Callithrix jacchus: one gene and its partners. The protein of the gene in region 4 interacts with the protein of the main gene of each other region in a biochemical or structural test. Links are inferred from orthologs where the notes say so. Each region holds a gene or a part of one and is shown on either strand. Other genes may lie near its edges.

Region 1 (4,110 bases), on a different chromosome or scaffold from region 4:
ATGTTGACCAAGCTGGTCTTGAACTCCTGACCTCGGGTGATCCGCCTTGGCCTCCCAAAGTGTTGGGATTACAGGTGTGAGCCATCGCACCCGGGCCCAGCATTTGTCCTTTGGTGACTGCCTTAAACTTAGCATAATGTCCTCAAGGTTCATCTATGTTGCAGCACCCGTCGGAATTCCCTTCCTTTTTTTTTTTTTTTTTTTTTTTTGAGACGGAGTTTCGCTCTTGTTACCCAGGCTGGAGTGCAATGGCGCAATCTCGGCTCACCGCAACCTCCGCCTCCTGGGTTCAGGCAATTCTCCTGCCTCAGCCTCCTGAATTCCCTTCCTTTTTAAGGCTGTTTCTGCCTTTGGGCTGTTGTGAAGAATGCTGCTATCAACATGGGTGTGGGAATATCTGTTCAAGTCCCTGGCTGTATTTAAATTCTTTTGGATATTTAGCCAGAAGTGGAATTACTGGATCATCTCGTAATTCTATTTTTGATTTTTTGAGGAACCACTAATACTGTTTTTCACAGCAGCCGCAGCATTTTACACTCCCACCAGCAATGCACCAGGTTTCCATGAAATCACTAATTTTATAACTAACGTTTTTCCTGATTACAGACAGTACACGTTCACTGTAGAACATTTAGAAAATTCAAGAAAGAAAATTTAGAAAATTTAAATTCCCCTTATTCCACATACAGGAACATGACTTGAATTTTTATTATCCCCAACAAAGAGGAGAAAGGGTTTTTCTGGGACGATTGCGTTGCTATAGTGCCGAGGCCTGCCCTGCACGGATCTCATCCTCAAAGCCCCTCCGATCCCGGCGTCCCCGCGACCCCAAGCATCAGCCAAGTTCATGCAGTTGAACTGGCTTCTGAGTATATACGTGGATAATTCCCCGGAGGGCCGCAGACGCGACATGGGGTGGGTCTGGGTTGCTAGGGCAAAACATAAAATGTTTGAGGAAAGTGACTTGTCTAGAGAAGCACGTTCTGCAAACGCACCATCCACGTTCCAAACTGAGCATCGGTGTTTTGACCGAAGGGCACCTGAGGACATCAGTACAGTCCTGCAAAGGCCAGCACCCAGATCAGCAAGCAGAGAGCAGGAGAATTCCCCGCCCCATCTCACTTCTTTAAGTGCCTATTGGCTGATTTCACCATTAGTCCCCGCTGGCCTGCTATCACCGCCGCCGTTTGTGTCTCGGCCAGTACTCTCATTGGTCCTATCCGCAGTCGCTCTACGTAAGGGGCGTTCCAGAGTCAGCCACTGAGAGTCGCTGGATTCGGGTTTTAAAAAACGCGGGCGGTGAAGTGGGCGGAGCGAGCGATTTGAACGCGAGCGGCGCGGAACGTGGTTAAGCACCGGCTCCTCTAAGGCTCGCGGTCCAGGGCTCTCCGAGCCTACCCAGACGCCAGCCTTTTGTCCCTGGACCCGGCAGCCCAAGCAGGAGCCGTGGGGCCGGGCGCCAGCACTCTCCGCGGCGCGCCATGGGCCCGCGCCGCCGGAGCCGCAAGCCCGAGGCCCCGAGGAGGCGCAGCGCGAGCCCGACCCCCAGCCCCTCCCGGCGGGGCCCCTCCTTAGGTAACCGGCTGCGGCCCTGTCTCGTAGAGGAGAAAACCGAGGCTCGCAGGCGGAGCCCGGATCTCCCGAGTCCCGGTCGCGTGACCTTCCCCTGCTGGGGGACAACACGGTTCCGCTGTCCGGCATCCGCCCCGGGCACGAGCGGTGTCAGCCCTGCGAGGGACTGGAGCAGGCGGTTCGAAGCGGGAAGGGACCAGCTCCTAACGCCGCCTGCTTGTTAGGACTAGCGGTTACCCAGCGCCCACCGCCAACCAGGCATTGCGTCCCTACTGTTCGTGCGTTATCTCAGCTTCAGGTCGTACGCGTTTTATAGCTAATGAAAAAGCCGAGGCACAGACAGGCCAGGGAGCTTGAGCAGAGTCACATAACTTGTTCTGGCGGACACGGGATTTCCAATCCTCTGTGTCTGTGCTTTTTTAAAATTGCAAAAGTATTGACTGCTTTCAGTGACGATTTCAAACTGCAGTCCTCTTAGGAGGCGTCTTTCAGGTTTTTTTCCCTTCCGGGAGAGACTGTTTAGACCTTGAACCGAGGCCCTCTGCGATGCTCACTCTGTTACCTTCCAGAGCTTATGTCCGGCAAAGAGGGGCCGAAGTCTGTGTCTTCACTGTCTGTATGGTGGGCTGGTGGATGGGAAACAGGGGCAGGAGGACGCAGATGCCTGTATGGTACGCGTGGCAATAGCTGCTTTACTTATCTCTAAACTCTTGCTACATAGCCATGAACAAGATGGGGAAAGTGTATTGTAAATTTGTTTGTTTTTTTTAGAGACTGGGTCTCCCTGTGTTGTCCGGACTGGTGTCAAATAAGTGATCCTCCTGCCTGGGCCTTCCAAAGTGCTGGGATTACAGGCATGAGCCACTGCGCCTATAGGCTTTTTGTGTTTTTTGTGTTTTTTTGAGACCCATCGCCCAGGCTGGAGTGCTGTGATGCCATCAGGGCTCACTACAGCCTCAATTTCCCAGGCTCAGTGATTCTCCCACCTCAGCCTCCTGAGTAGCTGGGACTACTGGCATGTACCACCACGCCTGGCTAATTTTTTGTAGTTTTAGTAGAGATGGGGTTTTGCCATATTGCCTAGGCTAGAGTAGGTTTTTCTAGATGTTGCTGTCGTGAATGGGATGTTTTTTCTTTTCCAAAACATGAGTATTTAACCTTTGCATCCAGCCGACTTGCCGAATTCTCATGCATCCTAATAGTCTTTTAGTTGCTTCAGTTGGAATTTTTAAGTCGACTATATGTCACCTGCAGATAACTTTTGAGTCTTCCGTTTTCGTTTCTACACATTTTATTTCTTACTGTATGGTATTAGTAAGGCCCTGAGATTCGCCAAGAGCAGTGTTTTGGCCATCTTTGTCTCATTTGTAATTTTAACAGGAATATTAAGTGTGATGTTTGCTGTTCCTTTCCAAGGTAGAAACATCCTTCTATTCCTGGTTAAATGGAAGGTTTCTCTCAAATGGGCTCTCAACACTTCTTGGTAGTCCTACCTGCTTTGTCTGGTATTCTCTAATTTTAGAGACAGAGTCTCACTTTGTCATCCGGGCTGGAGTGCAGTGGTGCTATCTTGGCTAATTGCAGCCTTGACCTCTTGGGCTCATGTGATCCTCCGGCTTCAAAATGTTTTGACTCTACAAAAATATTGCCCAGCATGGTCTTGAACTCCTGGCCTAAAGTGGTTCTCCCGCCTTGGCCTTCCAGAATGATGGGATTACAAGAATGAGCCATCTTGCCTGGCCTTTGTCTGGAATTCTTGCTTTTTCATTCTCCCCATGACTATTTCTTTTATTTTCTTTTCTTTTCTTTTCTTTTTTTTGAGACGGAGTCTTGCTGTATCACCAGGCTGGAGTCAGTGGCATGATCTCGGCTCACTACAACCTCCGCCTCCTGGGTTCAAGTGATTCTCCTGCCTTAGCCTCCCAAGTAGCTGGGACTACAGGTGTGTGCCACCATGCCCAGCTAATATTTTATTTTTAGTAGAGCGGGGTTTCACCATATTGACCAGGATGGTCTTGATCTCTTGACCTCATGATCTGCCTGCCTCAGCCTCCCAAAGTGCTGGGATTATAGGTGTGAGCCACCACGCCTGGCCCTCATGACTATTTCATACCTTTTCCTCCCTCCATGACTTCCTACAGCTCCATTCCCCCCACTCACTCTTAGCTAATGATGGCCTTGACTAAGTTCCCCTTCCTATCAAAGCCACCCCTCCTTCTACATGGGCTCTTGGTCATATCCTTCTTTCACCTACAAGGAGCTTTCTGTTGTCCTTTCTACCTGTGCTTAGATAAATCCAGACACTTCACATTAGCATTGGCAAATGTGCTCTAGTATTTATGATGTTAAGAGAAAGTACAGGAGTGTTTCCTTGACCCCACATTCTCACCTCCCTATACCTCCCATTTCTCTCTACTCCCCCTTCATAGCCATCGTTTTAAAATAGCCAGACTTAGTTAGGTCTACATATGTTGTGTCTGATTCCTTCCATCCTAGTGACCCTACAACCTACTCCAATCTGACTCCCCACAACCACTA
Region 2 (3,500 bases), on a different chromosome or scaffold from region 4:
AGAGGAAAGGTAAGGAGAGTAAGGAGGGTTTTTTTTTTTAAAAGGGTTTAAAAACACAAAAACAAAAAACAAAGAGAAAGGGAACAAGCTTTGGATAGTTAATACTAAATATAATAAGAATTCAATGACTTAAATAGTTCAGAACATAACTTAACTGAATTTCCACTGGCTGGGTTTTCAAAATAGAGGATTTGGGCCAAGATTAAAAGTAAATCTCTTTTGAACTGATTGCAGCCTGGCTTGTCCCCCTCTAGGATACATAAAGGGCTGCTGTGAAGGTCACTCAGGGCATCTCAGGTGCACAATTGAAGGCAAAGCCTGCAGTGCTCCCATCCTGGGGCCTGGGAGGTCCCTGGCAAGAATCACTCCTTATCTTCCATATATTCACTCCTCCCTTGTCCTCCGTGATGGATCCATCTTGCCTGCTTCTCTAGCTTCCTTGGCAGCCTGCCTTAGGAGCTCCTCTCTCTACCCTCCCTGTATGTTCACCCTGAGGCTCCCTCCCTTCCTGCATAACCATCTCCACTCCCACAGTGGGACAAACACCTAAAGATCTGGGAGGCAGTGTATTTCTCAATCTCCCTCTTCTCCCTGAGCTCCAGGCTGAAATTTCTGTCTAGCCTAGATGTCCTGGAAAAGTATCGAATGGTCCACATGCCATGCAATTGACATGTACTCCTCCTACCCCTAGTCCAGCACCACTCTGCCACCCAAGTCCCACACCTCACTGGATGGCGGTTGCCTTAGCTAGAAACCATGGAGTCGTCTCTGATTCCTCCTTTTCTCCACCAACCATGCCACTTTCTAAAACCTATCTCAAAACCATCCCTTCTTTTTATAGTATCAGCATGTCAGTTCAAGAATTTATAAGCTTCCAACTGGTTTCCCCATCTCCAGTTTCCCCCTCCCCCATTTATCCTGAATACTGTTCCTCTTCCCTTTCTTCTTCAGCTAGCAGGCTCTCACTCACCTTGAAAGCCCTGCCCATGTCCTAATGGGGTAGGGGAGACTTGCTACCTTCTTCTTCTGTGTTCTCTACACTTTGGACACCAGTCAATTATCACTTTTGTCACTGCCATGTAAAGTAGGATCATCTCTACTAAACTGTAAGCTCTGGTGCACAACAACGTATTTTATGCATTTTTGTATTTGCTTGTTTCATGGTAGCCCTCAGCCCCCAACCTCAGTGTCCACTTACTCTCGCAGTTTGAAGATTCTTATGTTTATTTTCTTCTTCTTCTTCTTCCTCTTCCACTATCATTTCATCAACTTGTATTACCTTTCGTGCTATAAGAAACAGTTTCAACAGTGTGGTATTTCTAATGAGAATAAAGTTTTGGGCATTCACATTTCTTATAGGAATAAAACATATGCAATCCTAAACTGCAATTAAGAAATGAACTAAAATTAAAGAAGACTTTTTTTTTTTTTTTTTTTGAGACGGAGTTTCGCTCTCGTTACCCAGGCTGGAGTGCAATGGCGCGATCTCGGCTCACCGCAACCTCCGCTTCCTGGGTTCAGGCAATTCTCCTGCCTCAGCCTCCTGAGTAGCTGGGATTACAGGCACGTGCCACCATGCCCAACTAATTTTTTGTATTTTTAGTAGAGACGGGGTTTCACCATGTTGACCAGGATGGTCTCGATCTGTTGATCTCATGATCCACCCGCCTCGGCCTCCCAAAGTGCTGAGATTACAGGCTTGAGCCACCGTGCCCAGCCTAAAGAAGACTTTTTAAGAAAGAGAGTTTAGATAAAGGAAACTAATCAGTGTTAAGAAACCCCACATGATGCTTTGTAGGGACAGCCCAGCATTCTGAATAAGACAAACTTGAACTTGCCCTGCCTGGAAATCCTGGCCATGGGTCAGGATGTTCTTATAAGAGCTGGATGCATCAAACTATCATAGCTTAATGACGGTGACATTAAGTCCATGTCACAATTCATCCTGACCCAATTCCTTGCTCACTAGTCACAGCCTGGTCTCCCATATAACTTTTCCTGTAAGATAGTGTTTCTCAGAGTGTGGGACATGTATGTAAGATGATTTTATGCAGATAGATCGTGGAATTGAGTACCTTTTTTTCTCCCTTTTCTTTCTTTCTTTTTTTTAATCAGAGATAGCATCTCACTATGTTGCCCAGAATGGTCTTGGACTCCTGGGCTCAACTGATCCTCATGGCTTAGGATTACAGGTGTGAGTCACTACATCTGGCCTGAATTGAGTAACTTTGAACTTTATGCAGAGAAAGTCACTTCTTTTTCTTTCTTTCTTTCTTTTTGAGACAGAGTCTCGTTCTGTCGCCAGGCTGGAGTACAGTGGCGCAATCTTGGCTCACTGCAACCGCCGCCTCCCGGCTTCAAGGGATTTTCCTGCCTCAACCGCCCGAGTAGCTGGGACTACAGGCACATACCACCATGCCTGGCTAATTTTTGTATTTTTAGTAGACACTGGTTTTACCCCGTTGGCCAGGATGGTCTCGATCTCCTGACCTCATGATCTGCCTGCCTCAGCCTCCCAAAATGCTGGGATTACAGGCATCAGCCACTGCACCCGGCCAAGTCATTTCTTTTTTTATTTTCTTTTCTATTGAGACGGAGCTTTGTTCTTGTTGCCCAGGCTGGAGTGCAATGGCCCGATCTTGGTTCATGGCAACCTCTGCCTCCTGGCTTCAAGTGATTTTCCTGTCTCAGCCTCCTGAGTAGCTAGGATTATAGGCATTCACCACCATGCCTGACTAATTTTGTATTTTTAGTAGAGATGGGGTTTCTGCATATTGGTCAGGTTGGTCTTGAACTCCCCACCTCAGGGGATCTGCCCGCCTCGGCCTCCCAAAGTGTTGGGATTACAAGTGTGAGCCACCGTGCCCAGGTCAAGTCACTCCTTTTTCAGTTCTCTTTCAACTTTGCTGATTCTCAGGTGGTCTTACCAGTCTTTTAACACCTCTCTAGCAACAATGTTTGGTTTCTAGCACAGCTTTGTATTTTTCCTTTTTTCACTTTCACTTTAGTTCACACAGCGGTCTTGAGGTTGGTTAGCAGCAGTCCTGCATACAATAAACTAAATTTCTGGTTTGAATTGGTGTTTGGGTAAAACAAAACAAAACAAAGCAAAATACAGCATCCAAAAGCAAGTCTTTAGATTTACAAGATTAAGAACCAGACATTAAAGGGAAGACACTCTACCAAGAGGGCCCTGGCTGAGCAGCCAACCACGCAAGCTGAGCCTCAGTTCTTTCTATTGGACAAGGAGTTTTGAAAAGTACTCACTTTTGGCAGATTTCAGGGGTGTCTGAATAGCTTCTGCTGTTAGTTTGTTTATTTCAGTGATATCCAGGTCAGCCTATGACAAACAGAGCCAGAAAGCACCAGTTATTTCACCAAAATATGAGGAACAATATTTTGAGATAAAAAATTTTTTTTAACTATTTGATACATTAGACTGTTAAATGTAAGTGATAATACAATATAGCAGACTCCCATAAAGCCACCAGGCAACCCAA
Region 3 (3,500 bases), on a different chromosome or scaffold from region 4:
TTGAGCCACATGATAGTAAGTAAAAGATTTAGCATCAAGGTTTTCTTTTCTTTTCTTTTTGAGATGGAGTTTCGCTCTGTCACTCAGGCTGCAGTGCAGTGGCTCAATATCGGCTCACTGCAACCTCCACCTCCCAGGTTTGACTGATTTTCCTGCCTTAGCCTCCTGAGTAGCTGGGATTACAGGTGCACGCCACCATGCCTGGCTGATTTTCTGCATTTTAGTAGAGACGGAGTTTCATCATGTTGCCCAGGCTGGTCTCGAACTTCTGAGCTCAGGCAGTCTGCCTGCCTCAGCGCCTCCCAAAGTGCTGTGATTACAGATATAAGCCACAATGCCTGCCCTTTTTTTTTTTTTTGAAAGAGAGTCTCACTCTGTTGCCTAGGCTGGAGTGCAGTGGCACAATTTCGGCCCACGGCAACCTCCACCTCCTAGGTCAAGTGATTCTCCTGCCTCAGCCTCTTGAGTAGCTGGGATTATAGGCGCCCACCACCACACCTGGCTAATTTTCGCATTTTTAGAAGAGATGGGGTTTCACCATGTTGGCCAGCCTGATGTCAACCTCCTAACCTCAGGTGATCTGTGGTGATCCACCAGCCTCAGTCTCCCGAAGTGTTGGGATTGCGGATGTGAGCCACCCTGCCCTGCCAACGTCCAGGTTTTCTGCTTCTTGTAAATAAGTTCTTTTCATTACCACACACTGCTGCCTTCCAGCTGGATGACCTTAAACAAATTACTTAACCTCTTTTTGCATCTGTTTTCTCATCTTAAAATGAAGAAAACAAAACCTATCTTCTGGGATTACTGTGAGAATTACATATGTAAATACATGTAAAGAGCTTAGAAAGTTTTTTAGCACATACTAAGTGCTCAATAAATGTTAGTTGATTATAGTGTGGTGGCTCATGCCTGTAATCCCAGCACTTTGGGAGGCTGTGGTGGGCAGATCACCTGAGGTTGGGAATTCCAGATGAGTCTGACCAACATGGAGAAACTCTGTTTCTACTAGTAATAAGAAAATTAGCCAGGTATGGTGGTGCATGCTTGTAATCCCAGCTACGTAGAAGACTGAGGCATGAGAATTGCTTGAATCCAGGAGGTGGAGGTTGTGGTGAGCCGAGATTGCACCATTGCACTCCAGCCTGGGCAACAAGAGCAAAACTCCATCTCAAAAAAAAAACAAAGAGGCCGGGCACGGTGGCTCACACCTGTAATCCCAGCACTTTGGGAAGCTGAGGCGGGCAAATCATGAGGTCGGGAGTTCAAGACCAGCCTGGCCAACATGGAGAAACCCCCATCTCTACTAAAAATATAAAAAATTAGCTGGGCATAGTGGCAGGCACCTGTAATTCAGCTATACAGGAGGCTGAGGCAGGAGAATTGCTTGAACCTGGGAGGTAGGGGTTGTAGTGAGCCAAGGTTGTGCCACTGCACTCCAGCCCAGGTGACAGAGTGAGACTCCGTCACACACACACAAAAAGTTTAGTTGATTATGTTAATGATTTTCTAATTTATATCACTCTGTTCCTTTTGCCCTGTGTTATCCCAGGTTATTAAACCTGAGTCCTGTGTTCCATGTGGAAAGCGGATAAAATTTGGCAAACTATCTCTGAAGTGTCGAGACTGTCGTGTGGTCTCTCATCCAGAATGTCGGGACCGCTGTCCCCTTCCCTGCATTCCTACCCTGATAGGAACACCTGTCAAGATTGGAGAGGTATGACTTATGTGAGCCATCGTTTTATGGCCTCTTTATTAGCCTTTCAAAGGCTTAGTGTCAGTTTTTGTTCTAAAATTAATGATCCCAGGCTGGCAGTGGCTCACACCTGTAATCCCAGCATTTTGGGAGGCAGAGGCCGGCTGATCACGAGGTTAAGAGATCAAGATCATCCTGGCCAACATGGTGAAACTCCGTCTACTAAAAATACGAAAAATTAGCTGGGCATGGTGGCGCATGCCTGTAATCCCAGCTACTTAGGAGGCTGAGGCAGGAGAATTGCTTGAACTTGGGAGGCAGAGATTGCAATGAGCCAAGATAGCACCACTGCATTCCAGCCTGGTGATGGAGCGAGAGTCTGTCTCAAAAAAAAAAAAAAAGAAAAGAAAAGAAAAGAAAAGAAAATTAACGATCCTAAATATATTTCTTTCCACAAATAATGAATAGAATTGCAAAATATTTACTTGTAGAAGAGTCATGTTTGGGTTTGTCTGTCCTTTCTAAACCAAACTTCTTTTCCCTCCCCCTTTTCCTTCTTCCTCTTCCCTGCTTCTCCTTTCTTCCTCTTCCTTCCTTCCCCTCATCCCATTTTGGAAAATTTTAGACATATATAGAACTAGAGAGATGAGTATAACTAATCCTTGGTTCTTACAACTTGACTTCCATGATTACTAACTAGTTTCCACTCTCTCTCTCTCTTTTTTTTTTTTTGAGAGAGTCTCACTTTATTGCCTAGGCTGGAGTGCAGTGGCACGACCTCAGCTCACTGCAACCTTTGCCCCTCTGGGCTCAAGTGATTCTCTCACCCTAGCTTCCTGAGTAGTTGGGATTACAGAAATGAGCCACCACCATGCCTGGCTGATTTTTTTTGTTGTAATTTTAGTAGAGATGAAGTTTCACCATGTTGGCCATGCTGGTCTTGAACTTCTGACCTCAAGTGATCCACCCACCTCAGCCTTTCAAAGTACTGTGATTGCAGGCATGAGGCACCATGCCTGGCCGTGTCCATTCTTTTTTTAATGTCTTTTTTTTTTGGAGACAGAGTTTCCCTCTGTTGCCCAGGCTGGAGTGAAGTGTTGCAACCCTGGCTCACTGTAGTCTCTGTCTCCTGGGCTCAAGTGATTCTTGTGCCTCAGCCTCCCAAGTGGCTGGGACTACAGGCATGAGCCACCATGCTCAACTAATTTTTTATGTTTTTAGTAGAGATGGGGTTTTGCCATGTGCTCTCAAACTCCTGACCTCAAATGATCCGCCTACCTCACCCTCCCAGTGTTGGGATTACAGGTGTGATCTGTAATCCCGCACCCAGCCTTTATGTCTGTTCTTGATTTATCAGTAGTGTTGTTGCCTCCTCCTGACTGTCCAGTGAATTACTTTAAAGCAAGTATCAGCTATCATACAATTCTATCTGTGAATATTCTTGCTCTTATGTTAGACATACTCCGTAATAGGGTATCAAGATTAAGTTGCTTATTTCCAAATATTTAACCAGTTTAAACTGACTAAATCCATTAAGAAATTATTTATTGCTGAGCATGGTGGCTCATGCCTGTAATCCTAATACTTTTGGAGGCTGAGGCAGGAAAATCACTTGAGCCCAAGAGTTTGAGACCAGCCTGGACAATAACACAAGACTCCATCTCTCCAAAGAGTAAATAAATAAGTTAGCCAGGGTGAGTAGTGTGCACCTGTGTTCGCAGCTTCTTAGGAGGCTGGGTTGAACTCTTCTTGCTTGAGCTGGGGAGGTTGAAGCTGATTATGTACCGGCCTACCCCTCAGCAAATCA
Region 4 (2,708 bases):
CAGCTCTTTTATGCCTTTGGCCTGAGGCCTCCTCATTTCTTCCCCCAGGCATCCCAACATCCTGCGGCTGTACAACTACTTTTATGACCGGAGGAGGATCTACTTGATTCTAGAGTATGCTCCCCGTGGGGAGCTCTACAAGGAGTTGCAGAAGAACCGCACATTTGATGAGCAGCGAACAGCCACGGTCCGGGAGCGTGGGCACCTAGGGCGCCGGTAGGGGCTTGTGCTGCTTGTAGCTGGAGGTCCATCTTTGTCTGACTGCCTGTCATTGGCCCTTCCAGATCATGGAGGAGTTGGCAGATGCTCTAATGTACTGCCATGGGAAGAAGGTGATTCACAGAGACATAAAGCCAGAGAATCTGCTCTTAGGGCTCAAGGGAGAGCTGAAGATTGCTGACTTCGGCTGGTCTGTGCACGCACCCTCCCTGAGGTATGGTGGCCTGGGAGGCCAGAGGTGTGAGGCTGGGCCATTAAAACCTCTCCAGGAACAAGTTTCACGTTAGCTCAGTTGGTTAGAGTGTGGTGCTAATAATGCCAAGGTTGCAGTTTTGGTATCTGTACAGGCCAGTGGCCAAACTTTGGCCAGGCACGGTGACTCACACCTGTAATCCCAGCACTTTGGGAGGCCAAGGTGGTTGGATCACTTGAGGCCAGAAGTTCAAGACTGGCGGACCTGCCTGGCCAACATGGCAAAACCCCCTCTCTGCTAAAAATAGACATGGTGGTACACACTTGTAATCCCAGCTGTTCAGGAGGCTGGCACATGAGAATCGCTTGAACCCGGGAGGTAGAGGTTGCAGTGAGTCAAGATCGCCCCACTGCACTCCAGCCTGGACTTTGTCTCAAAAAAGCCCAGGAGCAGCAGCCTTTTTTTCTTCCATACCTTTTTTTTCATGGTTTCATAGTATCACATGGTAGAGATACAACCTGATTTATTTAAGCAGAACATGCCTGATGGGCATTAGAGATGTCTCCAATTATTTCTTTAACTCCAAAATGAACATTGCCCACACATTGGATTATCTTTTTTTTTTTTTTGAGATGGAGTCAAAAACACAAAACCAGAAAGATATGGAGTCTTGCTCTGTCATCCAGGCTGGAGTGCAGTGGCACAATCTTGGCTCACTGCAATCTCCGCCTCCCCAGTAGCTGAGACTACAGGCATGTGTCAACACATCCGGCTAACTTTTTTTGTATTTTTAGTAGAGAGTTTCACTGTGTTAGCCAGGATGGTCTCCATCTCCTGACCTCCTGATCCGCCCACGTTGGCCTCCCAAAGTGTAGGGATTACAGGCATGAGCCACTGTGCCTGGCCTTAGATTATGTTAAGATATATCCGACAGTGTAGAATTGCTGGGGCTATGTGCAGGCTTAACTCTGGGGCTTCGGGATATATCATCATCCCACCCCCACCCCAGTAACCCTGCCTGGCTGGACCTCTCCCGTGGTACATCCTGTGGTCTTTTGGCTCCCTGCTGTCAGGCAGCAGGGAAAGGAGAGATTGTATGTCACTGGGACCCCTGCCCACACCGCTTATCCCTCCCAGGAGGAAGACAATGTGTGGTACCCTGGACTACCTGCCCCCTGAGATGATTGAGGGGCGCACGCACAACGAGAAGGTGGATCTGTGGTGCATTGGAGTACTTTGCTACGAGCTGCTGGTGGGGAACCCACCCTTTGAAAGTGCATCACACAATGAGACCTATCGGCGCATCGTCAAGGTGGGAGGGTGGCCTGGGCTTCATGCCAGATGCAGAGGCCAGGGGCTGGGGGGCTGAGGGTGTGTGGGCAGAGTGTATTTGCATGGCCCTAAGTAACTCCAAACAGAATGGGTAGTCAAGGAAGATGTAGCCAGGATGAAACTAATGCAGCCCTTCCATCTCTTCATATCTGCAGGTGGACCTAAAGTTTCCCGCTTCAGTGCCCACGGGAGCCCAGGACCTCATCTCCAAGTTGCTCAGGCATAACCCCTCAGAACGGCTGCCCCTGGCCCAGGTCTCAGCCCACCCTTGGGTCCAGGCCAACTCTCGGAGGGTGCTGCCTCCCTCTGCCCTTCAATCTGTCGCCTGATGGTCCTTGTCATTCACTCGGGTGTGTCTATGTTTGTATGTCTGTGTATGTACAGGGGAAAGAAGGGGCCCTGACTGTTCCCTTGTCTGTCTTCTACCTCCTCCTTTGTTTAATAAAGGCTGAAGCTTTTTGTATACTGATGAGTGTAGATGTTTCTAGGTGGATGCTTTGCTGTGGTGGAAGCTGTTCCTTAGAAGAGAGCTGGCCCACCCTGAGGAGCTGGGATGAGCATTACTTTGCTATCCCTGGTAATACCCTACCCTCTCAGCTCTGACTCTCACCTGGTCAGTTCCCAGCCAACGCCACCCCCACTTCCACCTCTGCCCTCACTGTCTATTCGCTCCCAGAGCCTGGAGGCGCTGGACCCTGGCACACCAGCCATCTCTGGCCACTTTTCACCTCTCTCTTGGTTGTCTGACTTGTAGTTTTTCCTCTTCTGGTTCATTCTCTGCCCCTTTGCCATTGTAGGAGCAACTGAACAATGCTGTACCCTAGAAGTCGTCTTTGCTTGTTTCTTTTACTGCTCTGGTACAGGAGCCAAAGAAGCAGTAGTGATTCGGTCTTGTTCCTGACACAAGGTTTCACAGTTACATATGAAGCTTTCTGTAGGTTTTTCATAGATACCCTTTTTCAGG
Region 5 (4,055 bases), on a different chromosome or scaffold from region 4:
GGAAATCTGTTGTATTATTTCATAGCAATAAAAATAGATCAGTTTCAACCAGCAGATTAAAGAAAAAAAATTTTCAAGAGGTTTTAGTGGTTTATCAAACATCAATAAAAATCAAACAATTTGAAAATTGGTCAGTCTCATTTCACTAATGCAAGTCAAATTACATGAAGAAACATAATATAAAATGTAAATAAAATGAGAAAGAAGATAATCCAATAAGTAAGTACAGTTACCTTTAGTAACATCAGAAATATCCAGTCTGATAACCTCTAGGTGTACCAGATGGACTGTCAAACACACACTGAATCATATTGAAGATTCAGAGCAAAATGCTAATGGTTAACTCACATCCACCTTTATTCCTTTCCTGACAAATACAAATAGTCTTACTATGCAATCACATTAGTGGCAATCTTAGCTTAGACTCAGTATCAATAATAATCATGAAAAGAAAATTGTATAAACTATTTTCCTTGAAACAGTTGTAAGTTTGTATGTCTTATGAGAATGGTTTCTCAAGAAAAGTACAGATTTGGAAAGGTGGGCTATTAGAGTAAGTACCCTTTCCCCACTACATTCCAATTTTTAATAAACCTCAAGTAAACTCAGAAATTTACCAAATCAGTTGGGAAATGACAAATCATCTGCAAGTTATCTAACTAAATTGATAAGCAATAGGCTTTACTTTTATTGTGAAAACTACTTTCTTCAGAACATCAACTAAGCCTTATATAATCACATTACACTTTTCGAAGTGTGCTTATAAAAATGGCAGATTAAAAACATTGGGCTTTTTAAGAATTGAAGCTCTTATTTATCTGTTTTTTAAATGCATCATTTGATGTTGCAGCAGAAACTACTCTCATCTCACTGCCATAAGAAGTTCTACCAGGCAAAAAAATTTAGCCATTATCATCATTCACAACTTGGTTTCTTCTGAGATTGCTGCCAGTTAGTGCACACTGTGTCAACCGCAACACTTGGTCACACATCAGGCAAACAAACTCTTTTACCATTAAGTATAAGGATATTAATAAGAACTTGCAGTTAAGGGAGCTAATATTTTTAGATGTAAAATGATGTCACAAATGCTGAATTATTTCATTTTCCTCAGTTTTTAAATTTGAACACTAGATATGGCCTATTTCCAAAAACACAGCTGCATATGTCAGCATGTGCTTGTTCACTGGTATTCGCCTCCACTTTCTGCTTCTCCATTCAGTTTCCTTCACACACTAATTGCAGCATGGAAGTGAGCAAATGAACCTCAGCCTGGGAGCTAACACCATAACTACATGGGGAGAAAGTGATATTGCTAAGAGTGAGCAGACTTTTTTTTAAACTACGTTGTTTTGAAATATGCTGCTTTTGGAGGGTTTATACAAATACAAGATCCACTGTTAAGGAACTGTGGCTTCAGAAAAAAAAAAAAAAAAAGCAGGTGCTCTCCAGAGACAGTTTTAAATCCCAGCGTCTCTTAGTCCCCATTCAATGTGCTTAGTAACCAGCCTATGTTAACTTGAGTGACTTTATCCCAAACCACTAAAGTCCTCTGACTACATTAAAACGATGAACATTATAGTTTACAATTAGAGAAATGGAGCCAGGCATCACAAGTTCCACCAATCCTCTGTCTCTCAGGCCTGCTGAGAAGCCAGGGAAGAATCAGATTTAGGATCATGTATGAGATTGCGTACAAACATATATATATATATATATATATATATATATATACACACACACACACACACACACACATATATACACACACACATACACATACACACATACACACACACACACATTTAACTGGCTATTGTTCTTGGGTTAACTTAATGAAACCTAGAAAGAAACTTTAAAGTTCCCTAGTTGATATTTACTAAGGATATTTAGAGAAGGAATGATCTCATCACTTTCAGTAAACTGTAGCCTAGACTGCAAACCTCCAAGAAAATCATTAGTCAACTGTGATTTAAAAAAAAAAAAAGTCAAGATATTCTGAACGCAGAGTGAAGTTAAAAGCTTGGAGAACAGGAGTGTGCTCTTCAGTTGGAAGCCAGCAGAGAAGACTCAAGTTAGGAGATTCTGAAGGAGAGATGGATTAGGAGGCACAAAGCAGAAACTGTTAGAGGGCAAGAGACAGTGGGGCCGAGGTGGGCAGAGGGACCCCAGACTGTCAGGGCAGCGACAGCGAGGCCCAGAAAAGAAGATCTTGGAGAGATGAGAAAGAAGCAAAGGAAAACTAGGTTCTGGGGTCCTAGAAGAACCTACGTGTCCGACGGAGCCAGAGGGACCGGGAGAAAGGGATGCGAAGGTGTAAGGATGAGGGCGCGCACCAGGACGCGGGAGAAAAAGAGGGTGGGCGGGCAAAACGAAGCTGGTTCCCTGCTCCTCTGCTCCTCTGCCCCTGGCACAGATCGCAACTCCTCGCCGCGCACCGCGCGGCGCCGGTTCCAGAGGCGGGGAAGCGGCTGATGGAGCCCCTGTGACTTCAGGACCCTGCCTCACCTTGCTCGCCGCGTCCTGGCGTCGCGCCGCTCGTCCGCCGGGTGCTGCGCTCCGAGGGCCAAAGAGGGAGTCGCGCGATGCAGCCCAAGCTCCCTTCTGCTGCGAGGCACCAGCACCCGCACCTTCGCACCCTCTGCTAGCCCGACCACTTCACCCTGTCCTGGCGCGGGCGGAGAGCACGGACCCTAACCCGAATGCCGCTCCAGTTATTTTCAAAAGTCCCCGTTCCAGGTTTCCCGGCAATAAGAGCTGAGCTACTGCGGCCGCAGCGGCAGAGCCTCCGCCTGACCTCACCAGGGTGTGGGGGGGCCGCCGAGGGAGGGGGGCGGGAACCCAGTTGGGGAGGGAGGGGGTAGTGGGGGGAGGGAGCGCGCGGGCGGGGGAAACATGGCGGCGGGGGTGGCCCCGGCAGCGCCTGCGCGGGAGGCAGGGTGGTGGGGAGCTGGGGCTAGGACAGTGTGTGGGGTCCGAACGGAACTCCCAGGCTGTAGCCAAAGCGCGACGAGGCTGGACCCTGAAGCTGAATGACCGCTAAGTGGCCCTCAAGCCTCCGAAACCGGGAGGCTCGGGTGTGAGCCCACGTGACTTCTAGTGCCAGGAGGCAGAAAAAGTGAAAAGTGTCAAGTATCCAGGGAAAACAGTGCATCCGCCCGGGGTTAGCCACTTCAAGGAGGTCCACCCATGCATTTTGCCAGCCGTGGCCTCGGCCTCCTCACAGTCACGGCGGGGCTCGGGCAGAGGGTGTGCTCTGGAAGCGGTGCCACCTCACCTCATTGGGGCCCAGGTCTCAAAATAAGTCTGACCCAGGCTCTCACACAAATATCACTCTTCCAGTGGGATAAACGCTTCATCCCTCCCTCTCCCTGCTGCAGTACGCAACATTAAGAAAGAGGAAGGATACAAACTACAAATAATAACAGTTTAACGTTTTACTGAGCGTCTGCTATGAACCAAGCACTGAAGTATCAGCTTACCTAACTCACAGCTACTCTGTAAGTTACACACTATTATTTCCATTTTACAAGTCACAAAACTGAGGTTAAGCAAGTTGCCGGAGGTTATATAAACAGTAAGTGGCAGAAGCGGGACTCAGGATCCCAAGCGGTGTGATTCTGGCACCCAGGCTCTTAACCACTGTGCAAACTGCTTCCAAACTCTGGTGGGACTCCTTTTCTAGGTCCGAATCTTGATTCTGTTTCGTCGACCTAGCCCCCAACAAAAATCCCAGTCAAGCCTGTTTTTCCCCTCGTCTTCCATTCATTCTTTGCCTTCTTGACGGTTACAGCCTGGGGCCACCTTCTTACACCTCTTCCTTTGCCCTTTCTACTTATGATTCCAGACTCCTCCTTGAGAAAATAAAGTGAGTTTGCTCTTAGCAACCAGTTTAATCAATGTTGAGTTTTTTTTTCTTTGTCTGTCTTCTTCTTCTTCTTCTTCTTCTTCTTCTTCTTCTTCAGGAAGTGATGTGGTGAGTGTGGAATCTTTATGTTTTCTAGGATTAGGAGATGTATTTCAAGCAATCAGTTTTAGCATGTATCAAAAACCTG
Region 6 (3,931 bases), on a different chromosome or scaffold from region 4:
TTAGGAAAAGAGGGAGGCAGCCATTATACTCAGCAACCTTTTGTTATTTTTAGGTTAGAGTGGCCTCCCTCTGACATTTTGGAGTCAAAGATGAAAACTCAACTTTGAGGCATAATTATACATTTACCACAGTCATCTACAATTTTATATAACATCACAAGAAGACATCTAAACATTTTTCTACATCTATTTTTTTTCATTTGTAAAAACAGCTAGCTATGTTAAATACATTTTCAGAATGCATTTGTTAGCCATTTGATAAACGCACTAAGCCAAACAAGACAAATAACATCAGTTATCTTTATATCTAATAACTGTACCAATCACTGTAAGAAGATACAACTGAAGGGGAAGTATTAGATCACCCACGATGTACTGCAAAGGTATTACACCTTAGACCTAAGAATGATCTGAAGGTGCTGAAAGAGGTGATTCTCTAGAAGGTGACCCAGGGTTTTCTTCGGGTGGAAAAACTGTGAGTGTACAAGCTCGAATGCCACCAAGTGACTCTGGGAGATCAAAAACTTTATGCCACTCATCTTTTTCTGGGTCATATTTCTGGACAATTTCTACCATACAACGATTATTCCAAGAATATCCACCAACAACGTAGATTTTATTTTCAAAGACGGCAACTCCAACATCACTTTGACCTCTTAACATGGCGGCAATTGGGGTCCACTGGTCAAGGGTTGGTGAATAGTATTCACAGCTTAGAACATCATCATAATCACTTGTTCCTCTGAAGTGATTGCCACCAATGACATAGAGCTTGTCTCCAACTGTACACATGCAATGCAGACCTCTGACTGTAGTCATTGGAGCCTTTTGCATCCATTTGTCTGTATCTGGGTCAAAACACATGAGCTCATTTTGGAAAGTGTCATGGGTAATTCCTCCTGAAATATACATTAAGCCTCCATATACTGTTCCAGCATGTCCATAGTGGGGTTCACTCATTTTTGCAACATAGCTCCACTCATTCATTCTTGGGTTGTAACATTCTACTGTGGCTAGTTCACCAGCTGCACTGCGCCCACCAACTGCATACAAATGTCCTTTGAGGGCACTCAAGTGAAAGAATGTGCGCTTTTCATTTAATGATGCAACCTGCATCCATTTATTATACCGAGGATCAAACCTGAAAACTGTATCAACAGCAGTTTTTCCTTTTGTATCGTAATTACTTTGACCACCAACTACATAAAGAAAGTTTCCAATGACAGCAATGCCATGCTGGTAACGGGGAGCATCCATCGGGGCTAAAGATCTCCATTCTTGTGCCCTTTCATCATACATCCGTAATTCTTTACTGACAACTAGCTGCTGCCTCAAAACTCCTCCTAATGTAACCAAGTGAGTGGAGTCCGATCGAATGGCAGTTCTATCTGACTGCATCACTGGCTGCATATATGGCATCATTTGGTAATTGCTAGCTTCCAAAAGCAGATTCACACAGGTATTGTCTGTTCTCATGAAATCTACCGTCTGCACGTAATTGATGAGGTCCTGTGGTGTCATCAGTGGAAATCGAATATTCTTCATTAATTTTGCAGCATAATCCATCCGAGGGTCTTCCAACCTTAGCCAGCGACAGGCAGCCTTAAAGAGTTCAAGTTCGGTACAGTGCTTAAGACTGTTACTGGAAAGCACAAAGGCAAGCCGTTCAAAAGGGAGTTTTAGAAACTCTCCAGTACTCAGTAAAGCAGGAAAGTTCTTCAGGATGAAATTATTAACATATTTATCCACTTCTATAAGATTGTAGGTGTTAGCAATTCGTCCAACCTCAACACAGTTATCTAAAGAGACTCCTGATATAAGAAATACTTTACAGAAGTCCAAAACAGGTAGTATTTGTAAAAAGCTGGCAGCTTCAAGTGTGTCCTGAAGACTGTCCATATTAAGAGAAAGTTTTGCAGTATAAATAAAATCAATGATTTTCTTCAGACCAACCTTGTTCACCCCATGAAGTTTAATGCACATCAAATCCTGTTCTTTCATTCCACCTGTGAACATAGCCTTGAAATAATCACTAGCAGACGCCATCATAGCTCTGTGAACAGGGAAGATTTCATCTCCATCACCTGGTACGAGGGTCACATCACAAAGCAATCCTTCTATTCTAAGCTGATCAAAGCCTTGCAGTACCACCGAACTGTGAGTATTGCTGGTAAAAAAGCGTGTGGTTCCTGCCTTACAAGGCTGCAAATGGGCAGAGACGCCCATTTCGCCGTTACCAAGGGACACTTTCATGTGAAAGCTTTCCTCCTGTACAGAGATGCAGGCCGGAGAAAGAAGTTATAACCGGAATGTTTTACAGTCAACGAGGTGTCCACAAAGAACAGAGAGCTCGTTTCCTTATCAAAGGAAAGCAGTCACTGCGGCACCCCTCAGGCCACGCCAGTCAGTCATCCACTAAAAATCGCCCTGTAGCAAGATCACAAAGGGCTGTGGACCTCAAATCTGATTATTAGACAGATAATTCATGACCTGTAGGTGGATAAATGACCCGGTTTACCTCGTCTGGCCTGCGCTGCCGCTCCTTCAGCAGTTCCGCTTCGGGCAAAGGGGAGGCGCAGCCACGTACTGCGGCTCCAGGGCCCGCTCGGCGGCGAGTCCAGGCTCCTCAGCGAGCTGCCTGCTGCGCCCTCCGCTGTACCTAGAGTGTCACAGCGGCCACCGGCCAGTCTTTGAGCAAGTGCCTGAACACAGACCTGGACCTGGGCTTGGGCCTGGAACACCGGCCTAGCCCCGGTCCCCAAGCGGCTCCTTCCGGGAAAGCCTAGTCCCAGGATCCCCCGGGGTGGGAGCGGCCGTTGCGGCTACTGCGGCTGCGCAGCCTCCAGAGCTCGTCAGTGGGCGGATGTGTGGGGGTGGTGAAGGGGGAGGAGGAGCGCGGCAACCGGGGACTGCGAGGTTGGGGAAGCGGGGCACCCTGAAGTTGACTCCAGCCCGACGTCTTAGAGTTGCCTTGTACTTGGGACTAAATAGAACAGAATGTGTGCACATATGTTATGCTGCATATTTGATGTAAGGTTTTCGCATATCTGAGCTCTTACGTTTCCCAAATGCATTTTTTAAAGCTTTACACTTCCTAGCTTCTGTTTTTTTGAATAGCAGTGAAATGCAGCTTTTTTATAAATTGAAAGAAAACCTGGTAGAAGAGTACGGGAGGATGCTTAGTTTTTTACAAAACAATAATTATCGCACACTATTTAATACCCCAGTTACAATTTTGGTTCATATTTTCGAATTTGTTGTAATTTCAAGCACAAAGTATTTGTCTCTTTGCTAGATTGTGACTATTATGTAAATGGTATATTCTAAATTTTTGGCTTGAAATGCCTTTGTTTTCCACAATTTAAAAAATGCCTACATAATTTTCCTATAACTATACATAATATAGTTTCCTTTGCCCATTGTTTGTTCCTGAATATGTACCTTCTTATCCTCCATTGTTATATAGAATCTGTAGTGAACTTATAGAATCTGGTAGCAAAATTTTAGCCCTGTTACGGATAGTTAGTAAAATGCTGATCCAAGACAATATTTCCAAAATATTATCACCCCTTCTGCTGACTTTTCCCTTTATGAGTATTTTGTTAACTTGCATTTATTTAATTAGTGGTAAATTTAAATTCTGACATACAAATCAATGTATACTTTGGCACAATTTCTTCCATTTTCCAAATTTGAAGTTTATGTCTTTTAAATCCTTCTAGTTCTTTATGCAAATGCAAAGTAAGAACATAGTCATATTTTTATTACACTCTCATTTTTATATAAAAAATAGCACACCATGTACACTGTTCTGCATCTTTTTTCACTTCAAGATCTTCCTGAATTAGTATTTAAAGGGCTTATCTATGTTTTTAAATAATTCTATTGTTGCCCTTTGAGTTGTCATAAATTATTTAACCAGTGCCCTTTT

The links.
Region 1: of the proteins of AURKB (region 4) and CENPA, one has a biochemical effect on the other in vitro, tested with the Homo sapiens proteins (3 studies listed by BioGRID). The link is inferred for Callithrix jacchus from reciprocal best matches to the Homo sapiens genes AURKB and CENPA.
Region 2: the proteins of AURKB (region 4) and CDCA8 form a complex in vitro, tested with the Homo sapiens proteins (3 studies listed by BioGRID, with this or other methods). The link is inferred for Callithrix jacchus from reciprocal best matches to the Homo sapiens genes AURKB and CDCA8.
Region 3: of the proteins of AURKB (region 4) and RACGAP1, one has a biochemical effect on the other in vitro, tested with the Homo sapiens proteins (2 studies listed by BioGRID and IntAct). The link is inferred for Callithrix jacchus from reciprocal best matches to the Homo sapiens genes AURKB and RACGAP1.
Region 5: of the proteins of AURKB (region 4) and KLHL13, one has a biochemical effect on the other in vitro, tested with the Homo sapiens proteins (2 studies listed by BioGRID and IntAct, with this or other methods). The link is inferred for Callithrix jacchus from reciprocal best matches to the Homo sapiens genes AURKB and KLHL13.
Region 6: the proteins of AURKB (region 4) and KLHL9 form a complex in vitro, tested with the Homo sapiens proteins (2 studies listed by BioGRID and IntAct, with this or other methods). The link is inferred for Callithrix jacchus from reciprocal best matches to the Homo sapiens genes AURKB and KLHL9.

The regions. Positions count from the first base shown.
Region 1 is NC_133515.1:88,212,135-88,216,244, reverse strand, and holds the start of CENPA (histone H3-like centromeric protein A), read left to right. Parts: upstream 1-1,310; 5' UTR 1,311-1,481; coding exon 1,482-1,575; intron 1,576-4,110. UniProt on the Homo sapiens protein: Histone H3-like nucleosomal protein that is specifically found in centromeric nucleosomes. Replaces conventional H3 in the nucleosome core of centromeric chromatin that serves as an assembly site for the inner kinetochore.
Region 2 is NC_133508.1:74,255,919-74,259,418, reverse strand, and holds part of CDCA8 (borealin), read right to left. Parts: intron 3,341-3,500; coding exon 3,268-3,340; intron 1,288-3,267; coding exon 1,199-1,287; intron 1-1,198.
Region 3 is NC_133510.1:69,589,683-69,593,182, forward strand, and holds part of RACGAP1 (rac GTPase-activating protein 1), read left to right. Parts: intron 1-1,549; coding exon 1,550-1,714; intron 1,715-3,500.
Region 4 is NC_133506.1:74,672,293-74,675,000, reverse strand, and holds the end of AURKB (aurora kinase B), read left to right. Parts: intron 1-48; coding exon 49-187; intron 188-284; coding exon 285-433; intron 434-1,549; coding exon 1,550-1,724; intron 1,725-1,899; coding exon 1,900-2,073; 3' UTR 2,074-2,208; downstream 2,209-2,708. UniProt on the Homo sapiens protein: Serine/threonine-protein kinase component of the chromosomal passenger complex (CPC), a complex that acts as a key regulator of mitosis.
Region 5 is NC_133524.1:114,040,794-114,044,848, forward strand, and holds the start of KLHL13 (kelch-like protein 13), read right to left. Parts: upstream 2,801-4,055; 5' UTR 2,509-2,800; intron 1-2,508. UniProt on the Homo sapiens protein: Substrate-specific adapter of a BCR (BTB-CUL3-RBX1) E3 ubiquitin-protein ligase complex required for mitotic progression and cytokinesis.
Region 6 is NC_133502.1:128,320,033-128,323,963, forward strand, and holds the start of KLHL9 (kelch-like protein 9), read right to left. Parts: upstream 2,801-3,931; 5' UTR 2,254-2,800; coding exon 400-2,253; 3' UTR 1-399.